Linked DNA regions of Xenopus tropicalis. The protein of the gene in region 1 interacts with the protein of each later gene in a biochemical or structural test. Links are inferred from orthologs where the notes say so. Each region holds a gene or a part of one and is shown on either strand. Other genes may lie near its edges. The genes, in order: ptch1 and shh.

Region 1 (3,834 bases):
GTCTCTGGTGAAAACATAAAGAACTTGTAGGTTTCTGCAGAGAATTAAAAGGGGGACTGTTTTCTTGTGGATTTAATTAAGAATGTAAGTTTGTCAGCTCAGAGGAGGTTTTCTTTTGAAGGGAATTTGATAAGTGCTGTGAAATAGATCCCTTTTTACTCCAAACAACCTGTGGAGCTCTCGAAAATGACTAATCTCAGAAGTAACAGTGGTTCATTGTGGCAGATTGTTGTGGTACCCAAGAATAAGCCTGGAAGGCAAACCAAGGTTGGTGGAGGAAGGGTAACAATAACAGTGTATAAAAATAAGAGAAATATTGAGCATAGTAGATTGGAGGATCTGGCTATCTGTCACGCTAGGCAGAGTTTAAAAAGTAATGGTTTTACATTGGTCTAGCCACATGGATATACAGAGAACAAGTTTTTGTTTCAAGCTACACTTGAACCTTAATTATCTAGTGTTGTTGGACATAGTAAAGTTTCAGAAGTGCTTGGAGAAAACACTATCTTCGGAATCTTTGCTATTCCTACTGTATAGTGTGTATGTATAAATTCAGTTTCAAAATAAATAGTTTACTAAATATAACAAATTTGTTTTAAAACATTTCTCACATGGAAAAATAGTATTGTAAATATTTCATTTGTAACGGTTATTCTTGTATAATTTAATCTGTAAATATTGCCCTTTTACATCTTTTACCTTGAGCCACCATTTTCATCTACCTGACAGGAAATAATGCTGCTTTAACTATAACAGGTAGAAGTGTTATAGTAAAAAACGTTGTCCATGTAACATGTATGTGTGCTCTTGGTTTGTTGGTGCACACCGTGAATCGTATGAGCCCAGGGGGTGGCCCTAAGTACTTAAAATGTAAGGAGTACCCAATAGAACATACTTAACATTAAAAAAAGCACATTTTTATTAAATGGGTTATTTAGATGAAGCAGGGTTTAATATATGAGATGTTTTATGCAATATATTTTTATAGAGACCTACATTGTTCAGCAGTATAGTTTTCCTTTAACAAATGTAGGTGGATCATTTATTTTTTAGAACTGATGTCAAATCTGGCCTCCTTCGTCTTTGTTTTTTCCAGGGTGGATGTAGATTGATGAAAAGTTGTTCCCTTGTTCCAGGGGATTACCAGTGTTCCAGAGCTTTTGGACATTTAGAAAGATTAGCTCAGCAATCAACTCCACTAAGAACAGAGTAAATTAAGAGGCATTGTATATGCAAAGTAGACAGCAATATAATCATATTGTTTATTCAAGTGTAAGATGGATGACATGCAAATGTTTCTGAGGCCTGTTGTTGATACAAATCTCAGTCTCAAGTTCTGCTTTGTTTAGATTTAAGGAAGACATTGGGTTGTTGATAGTACTAATGGAGTTTTCTCAGATGTTTACAGAACCAGGGATATTTGTATGTTGTGATGTTTAAAAAAACACATTGGAAAACAAGACTTTGACTAGTACCAAGGTCCCGTTAACCCCTGTTCTGGATTTGTACAAACAAAAAAAAACTTAATTTGAGATTTACAGTATGCATTGTTATAAATCTATTAGCGACTAAAAGCTGGTTCTCAGTGTCATTACCTAAAATTTGATGGCAAACCTACAAAATGTAAAAGCTCTCCTTTGGAGCAGGGCTGCCCAACTGGTGGCTTTGGGTTCATTGCTGTGAACCAAGGATATTTATGGCCCCCAGACTGCCCAAATGAGATCTATAGATATATATATATATATATAGAACTTTTTTTTTTTTTTTAAATAAACCAGTTGAGAAATGTGTGCTATACTGGATAATTGCTTAATTACTTAGAAACAGTGGTAGGACACTGCTGTAGAGTAAAGCAGCTATCTGTGGCCCTCTAACTGTTGTAACTTTTAGCCATCCAGGATTCTGGCATTTGTACTTTGCAACAGCTGGAAGGCGCAGGAGTAAAGGACTAAAGCTGGTTAAGAGACTTTTTTGGTATTATTAAGTAATCCTTGACTGTAAGTCTTAGTGGTGGGAAACCACATCCATTTATGCATCCCCCCCACCCATTACTGCAGTCTTTATGTTTGAATTGGCTGACTCAAAACAAGAGTATTCAGAGATGCTAAATTGATCAACAAAAGATTAGCCTGCAATGCAGCTCAGCCATTGTGGAACCTTTTGCTCTGAACCGCGCTGGGGCATACCACAGAATGTAAAGCATTTTTCTTTCACAAAAACCTGATTTCCTTTCTTGAAAAAAACAACTGTATAATAATATAGTAAATGTGTAATACACTGATTGCATAAGGAGCTTGACTGAAACAGAATTTAATAATGATAAAAATGATAAAAAAAAAAGAGATTTAATTAGAAATTGTGCAGTAGGTCTTATGAGCATTTCACAGTGGATTAACCACTTGGAGAAGTGGCCTTTTCCCCTTGTAGACTAAATAGTTTAAATTCTACTCCTTTCCTTCATTTGTTTCCATCTTCTGGGCTCTCACTAATGGGGAGAGTGGAGGAGGGGCTGGTATTGTATTTGTGCTCTCATTCTTTTGCCCGTATTCACTTCAGATTCCATATTTTTTTTTTCTGCTTTGTGTTGCACCTCAATGAATAGCTGCAATTTATTGAAACTTTCTTATTGTTTAACAATATAACCCTTTTCTTTTCTTTTTAACTACTCTTTGAATTTGGGAAAGTAGCATTCAAGGTAAAAATAAAAAGTTTCTATAAATATGTTCTTTTGTGCTAATGTGTGATTTTTGTGTATTTTTTTTCTTGCATGTTTTATAAGTCAATTTAGTTGTTTGTATTACACACTACCAATCTCATCTAATATCTGAAACTGTTTGAGCTAAGATACTTACCAACATTTTTTTTTCTCCTAGGTACTTTTTTGCTGTCCTGGCAATTTTAACTCTTTTGGGTGTATTAAACGGCTTGGTGCTACTTCCTGTACTTCTGTCTTATTTTGGGCCTTATCCTGAGGTTTGTAACAGCTCTATAATGCCATAATTGTACAAGTTTAATGTTGTCCAGGTTAAGATGAGCTTGTGTTATTTCTTATAATACAAAAGTTTAAATGAGCCATGTGACACAGTTGACATCACTTTGCACCTTTGGTGACATCACATACAACCAATATATAACATAATTTAGTTTGCATATTATATAGATATTAATGTAAAATATGTCCTGCTGAAATAAAATGTGTAACACTTTTTTGTAGGTCTCTCCAACTAATGGCAGAGATAGACTTGAGTTTCCTCAAGAGCCACCACCAAATATTGTAAGATTCCCTGTGCATCCTAGACCGACGCAGAATGGGTCTGATTCCTCAGATTCAGAATATAGTTCTCAGACAACTGTATCAGGAATCAGTGAGGAGCTTCATCAGTATGATTCCCAGCAGTGTTCCAGAGCATCAACAAATCAAGTCTTCCTGGAAGCCAGAAGAAATCCAGCCTTTCCACGGTCCACTGTATGTGCCTCCAACTGTATTACTCACTCTTTGTGTGTGTGTATAATAGCAGTCAGCTATATATATATATATATATATATATATATATATATATATATATATATAGCTGACTGCTGCTACATTGTGTAGTAGTTAGAGAATTTAAACGTATACTAAAAATCTGAAAACTATAAATTATTTGTAATCAATGGGGGTCATTTATCAATTTATCAACACTGGACAAATTTGCCCATGGGCAGTAACCTATGGCAACCAATCAAATTGTTGCATTCATTGTTCTACCTGCAGCTGGCTGAAAAAAGCTAATCACTGATTGGTTGCTATGAGTTACTGCCCATGGGCAAATTTGCCCATTGTTGATAAATGAG
Region 2 (4,288 bases), on another chromosome or scaffold:
ATCATCTATCTATCTATCTATCTATCTATATATCATATATATGTCTGTCTGTCTATCTATCTATCTATCTATCTATATCACCTATCATCTATTTTTCATGTATGTATTCATCTAGCAAACTATCTATCTTTCTATCATCTGGCAAAATCCTATATCCTTCGATGTTTCTCTATCATCTGTTTGCATAATAGCTGAAGTTCTGGTTATCTCTCTGTTTCTATCTCTGTATCTCTATGTGTTATCTTTTTGGGTGTCTATATATGTCCTATCGGTGGTTCTATGTGCAAATTATATACTTTGTGTCCTTTATCACTCTGTTATCTATCTATCTGTCTATCTATTTATCTATCTATCCACCATCTATCTATAATCTATCTATCTGTCTATCATCTATCTATCTATCTATCTATCTATCTATCTATCTATCTATCATCAATCTATCTATCTATCTATCTATCTATCATCTATCTATCTATCTATCTATCATCTATCTATCTGTCTGTCCATCTATCCATTATCTATCTATCCATCATCGATCCTATCATGTAGAGAGAGAGAGATAGATAGATGATAGATGATAGATAGATAGATAGATAGATAGACAGATGGATATATAGATATAGATAGATCATATATAGATAGATGATAGATAGATAGATGATTGATAGATAGATAGATAGATAGATGATAGATAGATAGATAGATAGATAGATAGATAGATAGATAGATAGATGATAGATAGATATTGGTAATGTTACATATATCTATATGTATATATAGTATACACCATCAGGCACTTATATACCTGTAGATACATCTAAGGAAATACCCATTTGAGTTATTCTCTCTATACACGTATTTGTCTATGTACATGCATTCAAGGTCTAGTAGAATATGCTCAGGGGGTATTCTGTGTGTGCATGTATATATGTATATATGCCTGTGTGTGTGTCTGTGTGTTTGTATGTACAAAAACAGTGGCAGAGGTGTGTAGAAACAAAGAGAAAGAAAGAGCAAAGAGACAGATACACAGAGATAGAGAGACAGAGTTGTCAGTAGGATACATGGGGTTCCATAGGAGATATAGATCTGCAAACAGATAATTCTGTAAGTGACACTGTGGAAGCCTTTATTATCCCTGCTGCTGACAACTCTGTCATTTTGCCAAAAAAAAAAAAAAGTTTCAGTCTGTAACGCCTCCCCCCCCCTCCCAGCCCTCACCCATGAGACAATCCAACCTTGCCACTTGATGAGCTTTTCAAGGGTTAATCCAGACAGCTCTTGTCTGGCCCCAGCCAATCAGAGGCGGGCTGGGCTCGCTATAATATAGCTCTAAAGGCAGAGGCTCCTCTCACAGGCGGCTGCAGCCCTGCTTGCGCTTATTGCAATCGCAGCTTCTCATTTGCGCTTTAATTGCTGTGTCGCCTCTAAACCCCGATGTGTTCTGCTAGCGGGGACCTGCACACTGGGCTTTCTACACCTGCCTTGCTAGGGATCGGTGGCTAGTGGGGCCAGCCGGGAGGTACAAGGACACCCCAGTGCTCCAGCCAGTAGGGAGGCTGCAGCTCCACATCCTCCGAGCCTTTGATGTAATTGGCTTCGCTCGGACGAGATGCTGGTTGTGACTCGAATTCTGCTGCTGGGCTTCATCTGTACTCTGGTGGCCCCCCCTGGGCTGGCATGTGGACCTGGCAGAGGCATTGGCAAAAGGAGGCACCCTAAAAAACTCACCCCTTTAGCCTACAAGCAGTTCATCCCCAACGTGGCTGAGAAGACCCTGGGGGCCAGTGGTCGATACGAAGGAAAGATTACAAGGAACTCGGATCGATTTAAAGAGTTAACCCCCAATTATAACCCTGATATTATTTTTAAAGACGAGGAGAACACCGGAGCAGACCGACTCATGACTCAGGTACGGCCATACGTGGGGGGGTCGTGTAGGAAACCTATGGGGGGGGGGGTGGCTACACCTCTCAGGTGGTAAAGATACATTGATGATGGGTTTCTCTGTAACTGTCATTCTTACATTCGGGGGATGGCAGATACACTAGTTACTTCTCAGGTGGTTACCATATATTGATGACTGTAGTTGCCATTCTTACACCTCATTCAACCTGTTTCAACTCAGATCCATTTCTTCTGCCCCCATTGGCTTTAAAATACATTAGGACCCATGAATCAGGACTAAGCTATATATATATAGAAAGAGAACGAGAGAAGAAAATATATATATATATACACACACTAAATATTTCATTCATTCATTTGCTTACACGTCCCTTGGTCCCCTGGTTTAGCCAGTCCCCAGCCTTTAGCCCATACAAATGACCAGCTAAATCTCAATCGACCCCCCTGCACCCTGTCCCTTGTGTAAATCCCCCTTGTGGCACCCACACTGATCTCCAGCAAGGTGTGAGTAGAATGGGCAATGGGTGAGGGTATGTATGGGTGCCCACCGGTACCTTTGTCTGGAAGGGCTGCTGCACATTACATCATTGCTGATTAAATGGGATCTCCAGCTGATAGAGAGAGATCTGTTGGTTGGAAGCAGGAGCTGCTGGATAGAGTTGCAGAGTTTGTGCGACTGAGTGCGGCTGAGTGACAGGGAGGGAGGGGGCACATATATAGGTCAGGCTGATTCCCTGCACTTGCAATGTCCCAGATGTGTGGAGATACAGTATGGCAGCCAGGCGTGAAACCTCTAGCACAGGATCTATCTGGATATACCCCTGGCTCTATACTGCCGGGAGACTGTTACCCCTTAAGGGGGCACCTGAATCCTGCCAGGGGCTCTGTTGGCACAACCCCTCACCCTTGTCCTGGCCACACACCCATGCCTGGGAGGAATGGAAAGGCTATCAGCTCAGATGTCTATAGCCTTGGGTTAGTGTGTTCCTTAGGTATAGATACAGTGAAATAAATGTACCCTGGTATTTACTATCAGCCATATGTAACATTACTGATATATAGGCACTAGCTGTAGTTACATGATAGACAGAGAAAGCTAGAAGATATATGATAGATAGGTGATGATGATGATAGATATAGATAGATAGATAGATAGATAGATAGATAGATAGATAGATGATAGATAGATAGATAGATAGATAGATAGATAGATGATAGATAGATAGATAGATAGATAGATAGATGATAGATAGATAGATAAATGATAGATAGATGATAGATAGATAGATAGATAGATAGATAGATAGATTATAGATAGATAGATAGATAGATAGATGATAGATCTAGCGATAAAGAGACTGAGATGGATACATATATTGAGAATAGTAAATGCGCTAATATACACATATATATATATATATATATATATATATATATATATATATATATATACCGATACATGCTGGGCTGATGTGTATGGCAGATACAGGCAGTAGTACACACGGATCTATACAGATACAGACACATGAGGGTATACAGTATATACAGTATAAAGCTGTCAGGCAGTTACATACCGATATACACATATCTGTACAACCGGAGGGCAGCCGGGAGCCCCGGAGAGAGGCGATGAGCCCAGGGTACAGCTCCCTCCCGTCCCACTCAGGCTCATCCCTTATCTGCCCGGACCCATCAGCCTCTCACTTTGCTTCTATCGATCGGGCCGGTTGGGCTTTCAGCCTGTAGCCCCCTGAGCCGCGCTAATGGCCAATGCAGCTCCGTGTATGAGAAAGCTTAGCCTCTGTGATTAGCCACTCGCCAAGGCTTCTGCCACCTGTGGGCTATGGGCCACTACCTACACCTGCTGCTACTGCTGGGCTATTGATCTGTTCCTGCAAGCCATAGAGTAGCGCTATGTACAGAACTATAGAAACATCTACTAACTGGGGGAGAGGTCATTATGGGGATATCTAGATAAGAAAAACAGAGAAATCATAGAAGTACAACTGAACAACATACAAAAAGGGCATGGATGGGAGATGATAGATAGATAGATAGATAGATAGATAGATAGATATAGATAGATGATAAAGAGTGAGTGATGGGAATACATTAATGATACACAGATTACCTACAAATGATGAATAAGAAAGACATTTATTAGAGAGAGAGAAAGATAACTGACTGATAGTTTGTAGAGACTGGAGATTGATTCATGATTGACAATATGATGCATGTATAGGTAATTAAACTGCCAGACAGTTAATCTACATAGATGATAGACGGACATACAGTTAGAGATAGATAGATGATAGATAGATGGATAGCTAGAACGATAGTAGATAGATAGATGATAGATAGATAGATAGATAGATACATA

Evidence for each region.
Region 2: the proteins of ptch1 (region 1) and shh are reported together in a solved structure, tested with the Homo sapiens proteins (5 studies listed by BioGRID and IntAct, with this or other methods). The link is inferred for Xenopus tropicalis from reciprocal best matches to the Homo sapiens genes PTCH1 and SHH.

Annotation. Positions count from the first base shown.
Region 1 is NC_030677.2:135,818,663-135,822,496, reverse strand, and holds part of ptch1 (protein patched homolog 1), read left to right. Parts: intron 1-2,687; exon of another isoform or gene 2,688-2,695; intron 2,696-2,873; coding exon 2,874-2,973; intron 2,974-3,214; coding exon 3,215-3,466; intron 3,467-3,834.
Region 2 is NC_030682.2:17,020,356-17,024,643, reverse strand, and holds the start of shh (sonic hedgehog protein), read left to right. Parts: upstream 1-1,334; 5' UTR 1,335-1,612; coding exon 1,613-1,912; intron 1,913-4,288.